2 linked regions of the Macaca fascicularis genome follow. The protein of the gene in region 2 interacts with the protein of the main gene of each other region in a biochemical or structural test. Links are inferred from orthologs where the notes say so. Each region holds a gene or a part of one and is shown on either strand. Other genes may lie near its edges. The genes, in order: COPS4 and COPS7A.

Region 1 (4,417 bases), on a different chromosome or scaffold from region 2:
CTAGCTGTGTGACCTCAGAGCAAGGTATTTCAACTCTGTACTTTGGTCTTCTCTTACTATAATGTAAATAATATCACTTACTCCTACTTATTAAGGATTTTTAAATATAAGTAATGTTGTGCTTCGCACAGTAAACTCTACGTGTTATCAACTTTCACTCTAGAGATGAAAACCACTAAAATGGTTGTGTTTGGGACAACAAATAGAGAATCAGAATCTGAGTTAGAAGGGGCCTTTGAGGTCTCTCCTCAATATAGTCTATCCTCCATTGTGGCTCTCCTATTCTAAATCTTTATGTGAGATAATAAACACAACACATAATATGCACAAAAACAGCCTACAAAATGGAGGAAAATGCTTTTCATCTGACTAATTTCTTACATAAACTTTAGACAGCTGTGTTAATCCACAGTTATGGGAAAGCATTTCTAATTGAGTTTTTAACAAGAAAACGAGCATAGTCTGGTAGGTTTAAAATGAGCTTTTTAGAGTGATGAACCTGGGTTCAAATACAAGCTCTGCCCCTTTCTAGCTATTCATTAATTCAACCACATGTATTGAGCAACTGTTGTTATAGATATCCCAATTGCTGGGAACACACAGTATTGATATTTTAGAAACAATGTACTCCATTATTCTTTAATATGGAATCCTTTGTTTCTCAGCTCCTAAAAAATCCCCAAAAACCTTCATTAAAAGTACATACAAGAAAAAATACATTAAAAAAAAAAACTGATATTTCAAGGGTATTTCTCTTAAAGCATGTAGCTGGTAGAACTGATGTTGTTATAAGGATAAATATCCTGATACTTTCTTGCTCAGATAGGAACTGCAAGCAAGCCCAAGACTTTTCTCAGAAAGCAGCTCTGAAGGAGTTGCTGGCTAACACAGCACTGGCTATCAGTTATCAAGCACATTATTTCATTTAATCTTCACAACACCATGTGGTAGATTGCTACAGTAATGGCTTCCAATGAATCATGTCTCCCTCTGTCCAGGCTCCTTTGCAATGTAACTTTGTCACTAAAGAGGCAGTAGTAGGCTCCATTTCCCCTCCCCTTGAATCTGGGCTGGTCTTCTGATTTACTTTTACCAGTACTAGAGAATTGATATGAGACTTTCTAGGCTATCCTTAAGAGGTCTTGTGACTTCCCCTCTCATAGCCACCTAAGAAAGCCCAAGCTAAACTAATGAATGAGAGACTATGTGCAGAGAGAGACAGATCCTGCCAAGAGCAAGATATGCATGTGAGTCCAGCCCCAGGTGAGTTGCCAGCTGACTATATCTGCATGAGTGAGCCCAGACAAGACCAGAAGAGCTGTCCAGTCAATCCATAGAATCCTGAGAAATCACAGTTGTTTTACACTGGTAAGTTTTTGGTTACAAAGCAACAGATAACTGAAGTACCCTATAAATACTATTGTTTATCTCCAATTCAGACCTGAAAAAGTAAATACTTAAGTTTCAGAACTCTCCAAATACATGAAAAGCTCTATTTCTTCTGATAACTAATGCACTTATTTTTCTTTTACAAAATAAAAAGTAAAGGAAGCATGGGGGAAAAATATAAGCTGCTTTTACTTTCATCCATATCTACAAAATTACAAGCAAAAAGGATTAAGCCATGAAGACATATTTGTTTCCAACCCATACAATAAGTGAATATATATTACTGACAGCTTAGTGATAGTAACAACAATCTTGCGGCACTTTCTATATGTCAGGTACTGTTCTAGGTGATATAAGTGTGGTAAGTATATATGCACACAGATACTCATCTTGTCTTCAGATAATCTCAGACAAGAATATGTCCTATTACCATCTTCATTTTCCTAAATGGGAAAATGCAGCACAAAGTAGTTACGCCCAAAATATACGGCTGAATTTCCCACTGATAAAAGTAGATTACATTTACCACCAGAGAAAAGGCAGCCTAGCCTACTTAAAACAGTCAGAATTTCGATGACCAGGTTAGAGCTGGTGTATCCCATTAACATACATAAAGTGATTTCAGCTGTCAGGATGTAAACATTAAGATCAACTTGAGAGGCATACTTTATTTACTTATTTATTTATGGAGACGGGGGTCTCACTATGTTGCCCAGGCTAGTCTAGAACTCCTGGCCTCAAGTGATCCTCCCACCTCAGCCTCTCTGCACCCGGCCTAGAGAGGCATACTTTAAGTTCATTACAAAAGATCAGTGCTGTGACATCTACAAAGAGAAAATGAACAATATACGTCTACCTACCTATGCTTAATACTGTTGAACAACTGCTTGCACAACAGGCACGTCACACATTTTAACTTGGAGTGAACCTAAGCATTCTATATGAATTTCGACAAAATTCAGATTGCTGCAAACATCACTACTCTAGACATCCTGATCCGCGATATGAGCACATTCCGCCTATGTGCCTTCAGAGTTGGTGGCGGAGAAAATACCCGAAACACAAGGACCCACAGAAGACAGTCTGAGTGGTCTGGACGACATGACAGCGGCCATACCTCCTCAGTCTCAGCCAGCCCCAAGAAGCCATCTCCCCGAAAAACACACCATCAAGGCCCCAGAATATACATTTCTCTGAATCAAAAAAAGGAGGAGGAAGGTCCAACGAGAGGCCAGATTCGGTGTGAGGCCGGCCAGCGATAGGAAGAGGTACCAGGGAAGGCTACTAAGGCCAGGGTAGCAGTCGTCTGTCAGACCGCTCTTCCAAAATCCTAAGGGACCAGAGGGATTCTATCAATAACTGAACAAGTTGACAGTCATCCCAAGTCTATGGCCTCGAAGGCCCCTGCACAAGGTCCCCTCCAGCTCTCTGCTTCTCCCAACATTTGCCTCCCTAGCCGACCTCAGGCCCGCCCCCTTGGTCGTCAGGCCGGTTCCTAGCTTCACGCCCAAGAGTCGTGGCCAACCTAAGGAGATTAAGGCTGTGGCTTTCTTTCCCCACCTCTGTACTCCCGCGTTGCTGGGAAATACTCACTTGCCAGCCAGATCTTTATGAGAGCCGCTCGAATTCATGAGCTGGGCCAAATCCTGTCGCACGGCTGCCGCCATCTTTCTCCCAGCTCAGCGGTGGATGCGGGGCCTCTGGCAGCCAAAAAGAAAACGAGTGTGGTCCTCCAGAGTGCAGCCAGAGGGAACCTGAGATGCTACAGAGTAGCGTCTGTGTGGGCCAGAGCGTCGGGTGTGGGAGCCTGGGCTAGCTCCGCCCTCAGGGTTGAGTGATGCGGGGCTCCACTCCTCAGGTCTGAGGCCTGCCCAGCCCTCTCCTACAGGCTCTGGCTCTCACGCTCGGACTTTGGATTGGCTGATGAACTCCAGGAGTGAGTCTCTAGTGTAACTCCAATAAGTACCCGGTACATAAAACGACTGCGTTTTCGCAAAGTTCCATGTCTCATGTCTGTGGTTTACCGTCCTTAGGTCTTTCAGGCAGCGCTTAAACTGCCTGTGGTAAAGAACGAGTTTTGTTTCTGATTCACCACAGACGATACTTTTTAGAAATACAATTAAAAAGTCCCCATTCCTCCTCCCACTCCATGCACTTTATAAAGGTTGATCAGATATTCCAGTTTGTCCAGTACAAAGCCATTTTCCCTCTGTCGTCCTGGAGTAGTGATTAATAACATCCCCCCTTGCGGCCGGGCGCGGTGGCTCACGCCTGTAATCCCAGCACTTTGGGAGGCCGAGGCGGGCGGATCACGAGGTCAGGAGATCGAGACCATCCTGGCTAAACACGGTGAAACCCCGTCTACTAAAAATACAAAAAAATTAGCTGGGCGTAGGTGGTGCACGCCTGTAGCCCCAGCTACTCGGGAGGCTGAGGCTGTAGAATGGCGTAAAACCCGGGAGGCGGAACTTGCAGTGACCCGAGATTGCGCCACTGCGCTCCTGCCTGGGCGATAGAGCAAGACTCCGTCTCTAAATAAATAAATTAATTAATTAATTAAAATAACATCCCCCCTTTCATTCTAGAAACGGTTGCATTTCAATGGAAGATTATATGGTCGCCTGCGTTTATATGATATTCAATACTCATGTATTCTTATGGAATTTCTGCAAATACAAGCAAATATTAATAAATATAAAATTTTACCTCTCCTTTCACAAAAAGTAACACCACATAATTGTTCTGCTTTGTTTTTTGTTGTTGTTGTTGTTTTGTTTTGTTTTGTTTTGTTTTGTTTTTTGCACTTTTCCTGGTACTGTGGTTTGAAATAATTGTCTTCTCCAAAACGCAAGTTGAGGGCTGGGTGCCGTGGCTCACGTCTGTAATCCCAGCACTTTGGGAGGCCGAGGCGGACGGATCATCTGAGGTTGGGAGTTCGAGACCAGCCTGAACAACATGGAGAAACCCCGTCTCAACTAAAAATACAAAAATTAGCCAGGCGTAGTGGCACATACCTGTAATTCCAGTT
Region 2 (4,339 bases):
AAAAATACAAAAATTAACCGGAGATGGTGGCGCACGCCTATAATTCCAGCTACTCGGGAGGCCAAAGCAGGAGAATCATTTGAGCCCAAGAGGCAGAGGTTCAGTGGGCCAAGACTGTGCCATTGTACTCCAGCCTGGGTGGCAAGAGCGAAATCCTGGCTCAAAAAAAAAATAAAAAAGAAAAGATAAGCTTGGGCGGGGAGGGGTGGATGCAAAAAAAAAAATAAGTTTGGACTCATTAATTCCTTGGTTCCTTCAAAGTTTTAATATTTTATTATGCCTTTGATTCCTTCTCACTTTTGTTTCACCTTTTCCATTCATTTCTTCTTCTCCTCTTCCTCCTTTCCCTTTCCTTTCTGTGTTTCTGCTTATTTTCTATTACAAACCAAAATATGTGGACCATAAACTGCATCTGCAGTTCCTTTAGCCCTAACAGACTACGAGTTCTATTTCTCTTTATCTTTCTCTTTTTCACTTTCTTGTCTTTCCATTACTTATAAGTTTCTTAATTTTCCTGAGTCTCAGTTTTTCCATCTGGAAAGTGGAGATAACAATTACTAGATTGTTGTATCAGATGAATTAAGTAATGCTCGTAGCTTAACACAAAGGCCAAGATGTCATTAACTTTACCCTCACTTGACCTTCTGCAAGCCTGCTGTGAAATATAAAACACTATATAAATGTTAGTTGTTTTTGTTTTTATTAAAGTATGTTGAAGTAGAAAGATGGTTTTGAGTTTGAAAAGCTCCAGATAAATCCTTGGATTTTTATGAGTCTCAATTTCCTTTTCTGTAAAATGAGTAACATAGGGGTTTTTCCGCCCCAAGAAACTAAGAGTCCATGTACTGAAAGCATCATTCTACAAGTATTAATACATATATAGTAATCATGGTAGAGGGTGTCCTGAAGTCACACTGGGAATATTTGTGAGGATTCAACGGAATAAAATTTTAAAAGATGTCTGACCAATAGTAAGCACTCAATACATGTTAGCAATTATTATCTTTTACTCTTCTCACTTCTTTTCTCCTGCTCTTCAAAAAAGTGAGTGGTTGAACGACCTAGGTGATCTCTGCTGCTAAACTTCTATTATTGATTATTGTTTACTTCCTCTCTGCCCCTTACTCCCCCATCCCGTTTTTTTCCCGCTTCTTCACTCATTCCATTACAGCTTTTCTCTTGCCTCAGGCACCCAGGGCAGTCCTGATCTCCAGCTCTCCAGCGGCTTAGAACAAACACAGAGTCGGCCGAGACCAGGGGACCCGCCAAAGACGTCTGTGTTTAGTGGCTAGCGATCTTCCACTAATAAAGTTTTATTGAAATACAGTATTTAAAAAGGCGCCCGTCATTCTTCCCCCGGCGACCAATCGGAGAGTAGAATGCTTGCGTCCCTCACTGGAGCTTCAGCGGTTGGAACGCGGGGGCGGGGCATGTCCTGCCGAAATTTGCGTCCTTAGAGCGGAAGTACGGCCGGAAGCCCGCCATAGAGTTTAGTGGCCAGAGCGACTCTTCAGGGAGGTGGCAGGAAAGGCTTGGAACAGCTGCCGGAGGTGACGGAGCGGCGGCCCCGCCCGGTGCGCTGGAGGGCGAAGCTTCCAGGTAGCGGCCCGCAGAGCCTGACCCAGGGTACGACGAAGCAGTCGGCGGGAGCCCACGGTCGCTGGGCGGTGTCTTTAAGGGAGGGGGCGGAGCCACGTGTAAGCTTCATTGGGGTGAGGTCACGTGGTTGTGGGCGCGTGCGGGGCAGGAGTGGAGAACTGAGGGAGCGTCGTCGTTAGTGTGGATACCATGCGACACCCCTTTCTCCGTTGCATCCTGTCTTGGGGTTCAGTGGCGGTGCACATGATGGGGCTTGGGGTTAGGCTCGGGGGAGGGGGTGGGTGTGGCAGCCTTGTGAAGTGGCTGACTTTAGGATTTGTAGATCAGAATTCTAGACCGCTCCATGTGTGATTCCTCACCGCAGAACCGACTTAGTACCTATAACAATCCAGTCCTTCAGCCTTGTGCTTCCCATCCTACCAGCCATCGGGGATCTCTAGCTTCACATTCTCTTTCCTTGCAGCTCTGGACATCCTGAGCCCAGGTGCCCCCAGCTCAGTGCAGTCATGAGTGCGGAAGTGAAGGTGACAGGGCAGAACCAGGAGCAATTTCTGCTCCTAGCCAAGTCGGCCAAGGGGGCAGCGCTGGCCACACTCATCCATCAGGTGCTGGAGGCCCCTGGTGTCTACGTGTTTGGAGAACTGCTGGACATGCCCAATGTTAGAGAGGTGGGTTGCTGGCTTGAATAGTCCACAGAGAAGCATGGGCAAAGGTTTGAATTTGAGAATGGGTGGGCAGGGCTCAATTTGTGATCCCATACCATTCAGTTGAACAAGAAAACAGTGATGATTAAATGCCAACTTGCAAAAGTAACCAGTAAACAAGCAAACCAGCTTTCCTTTGGAGATAAAGGATCTGTAAAGTCCACTGTTTTTCATTTTAAGCAAAAGAGCATGTTATTCAGAATAGGAAATCTGATTTCCAGCCCGTCTCCACCAGCGTAATAGCTGTTAATTCTCATGTCACCTTGATCAGGTCACTTTTGTTTTAGGGCCTGAGCTCTCTTTTTTAAAAATGGAGACAATACTGCCCCCTCTGTTGTGGGAATAAAGTGAGATTATGGGAAAGTGTAAAGTCTGGTACAAGTGGGTAGTGAACATGTTAAATTAGCATGCCCTATTCTTCCCTATGTGCAGCATATGCTAATCTGTTCAAGGTAGCTAAGGGAGAATGTGTCTTTTTCCCAAAGACACATGGCAAACACTAGGAACACAGCAGAGAGAACCATTCACACAAAAGTGGCAGAGTTAATTTACAGAGGAGGCAGCCTGAGTCCTGACATGCTGACAGTGATATGTGGGTAAACTGAGCTAAGTTATGTGGGGCCTGTGGTTTAACCTTTTGGATCACTCTGTGATATGGTGAAAACTGGCTGACTTTTCCCTGCTTTCATCTGCAGTGGAACTAAAGAGTATCCATCAAGGTGATGAAAAAGAAGCACTTGGCCTGGTGCAGTGGCTCACGCCTGTAATCCCAGCACTTTGGAAGGCCAAGGCAGGTGGATCACCTGAGGTCAGGAGGTGAAACCAATATGGCAGAACCCTGTCTCTATTAAAAATACAAACAGGGCTGGGCGCAGTGGCTCACGCCTGTAATCCCAGCACTTTGGGAGGCTGAGGCAGGCGGATCACAAGGTCAGGAGATCGAGACCATCCTGACGGTCTAACACGGTGAAACCCCATCTCTACTAAAAATACAAAAAATTAGCTGAGGCCGGGCGCAGTGGCTCAAGCCTGTAATCCCAGCACTTTGGGAGGCCGAGAGGGGCGGGTCACGAGGTCAGGAGATCGAGACCATCCTGGCTAACACGGTGAAACCCCGTCTCTACTAAAAAATACAAAAAACTAGCCGGGCGAGGTGGCCGGCGCCTGTAGTCCCAGCTACTCGGGAGGCTGAGGCAGGAGAATGGCGTAAACCCGGGAGGCGGAGCTTGCAGTGAGCTGAGATCCGGCCACTGCACTCCAGCCTGGGCGACAGAGCGAGACTCCGTCTCAAAAAAAAAAAAAAAAAAGGCCGGGCGCGGTGGCTCAAACCTGTAATCCCAGCACTTTGGGAGGCCAAGACGGGCGGATCACGAGTTCAGGAGATCGAGACCATCCTAGCTAACACGGTGACACCCCGTCTCTACTAAAAATACAAAAAACTAGCCGGGCGAGGTGGCGGGCGCCTGTAGTCCCAGCTACTCGGGAGGCTGAGGCAGGAGAATGGCGTAAAAAAACCCGGGAGGCGGAGCTTGCAGTGAGCTGAGATCCGGGCACTGCACTCCAGCCTGGGCCACAGAGCTAGACTACGTCTCAAAAAAAAAAAAAAAAAAAAATTAGCTGAGCATGGTGGCGGGCGCCTGTAGTTGTAGCTACTCGGGAGGCTAAGGCAGGAGGATGGCATGAACCCGGGAGGCGGAGGTTGCAGTGAGTTGAGATGGCGCCACTGCACTCCAGAGCAAGACTCTGTCCCAAAAAAAAAACCCACAAAAAACAGGGCCGGGCTTGGTGGCTCATGCCTGTTCCCAGCACTTTGGGAGGCTGAGGTGGGTGGATCATGAGGTCAGGAGTTCAAGACCAGTCTGGCCAAGGTAGTGAAACCCTGTCTCTACTAAAAATACAAAAATTAGCTGGGCGTGGTGGCAGGCGCCTGTAATCCCAGCTACTTGGGAGGCCGAGGCAGGAGAATCACTTGAACCCGGGAGGCAGAGGTTGCAGTGAGCCGAGATTGCGCCACTGCACTCCAGCCTGGGCGACAG

What was found.
Region 1: the proteins of COPS7A (region 2) and COPS4 form a complex in vitro, tested with the Homo sapiens proteins (2 studies listed by BioGRID). The link is inferred for Macaca fascicularis from reciprocal best matches to the Homo sapiens genes COPS7A and COPS4.

What each region holds. Positions count from the first base shown.
Region 1 is NC_088379.1:50,803,280-50,807,696, forward strand, and holds the start of COPS4 (COP9 signalosome complex subunit 4), read right to left. Parts: upstream 3,110-4,417; 5' UTR 3,057-3,109; coding exon 2,983-3,056; intron 1-2,982. UniProt on the Homo sapiens protein: Component of the COP9 signalosome complex (CSN), a complex involved in various cellular and developmental processes.
Region 2 is NC_088385.1:7,643,721-7,648,059, forward strand, and holds the start of COPS7A (COP9 signalosome complex subunit 7a), read left to right. Parts: upstream 1-1,492; 5' UTR 1,493-1,599; exon of another isoform or gene 1,600-1,697; intron 1,698-2,062; 5' UTR 2,063-2,105; coding exon 2,106-2,267; intron 2,268-4,339.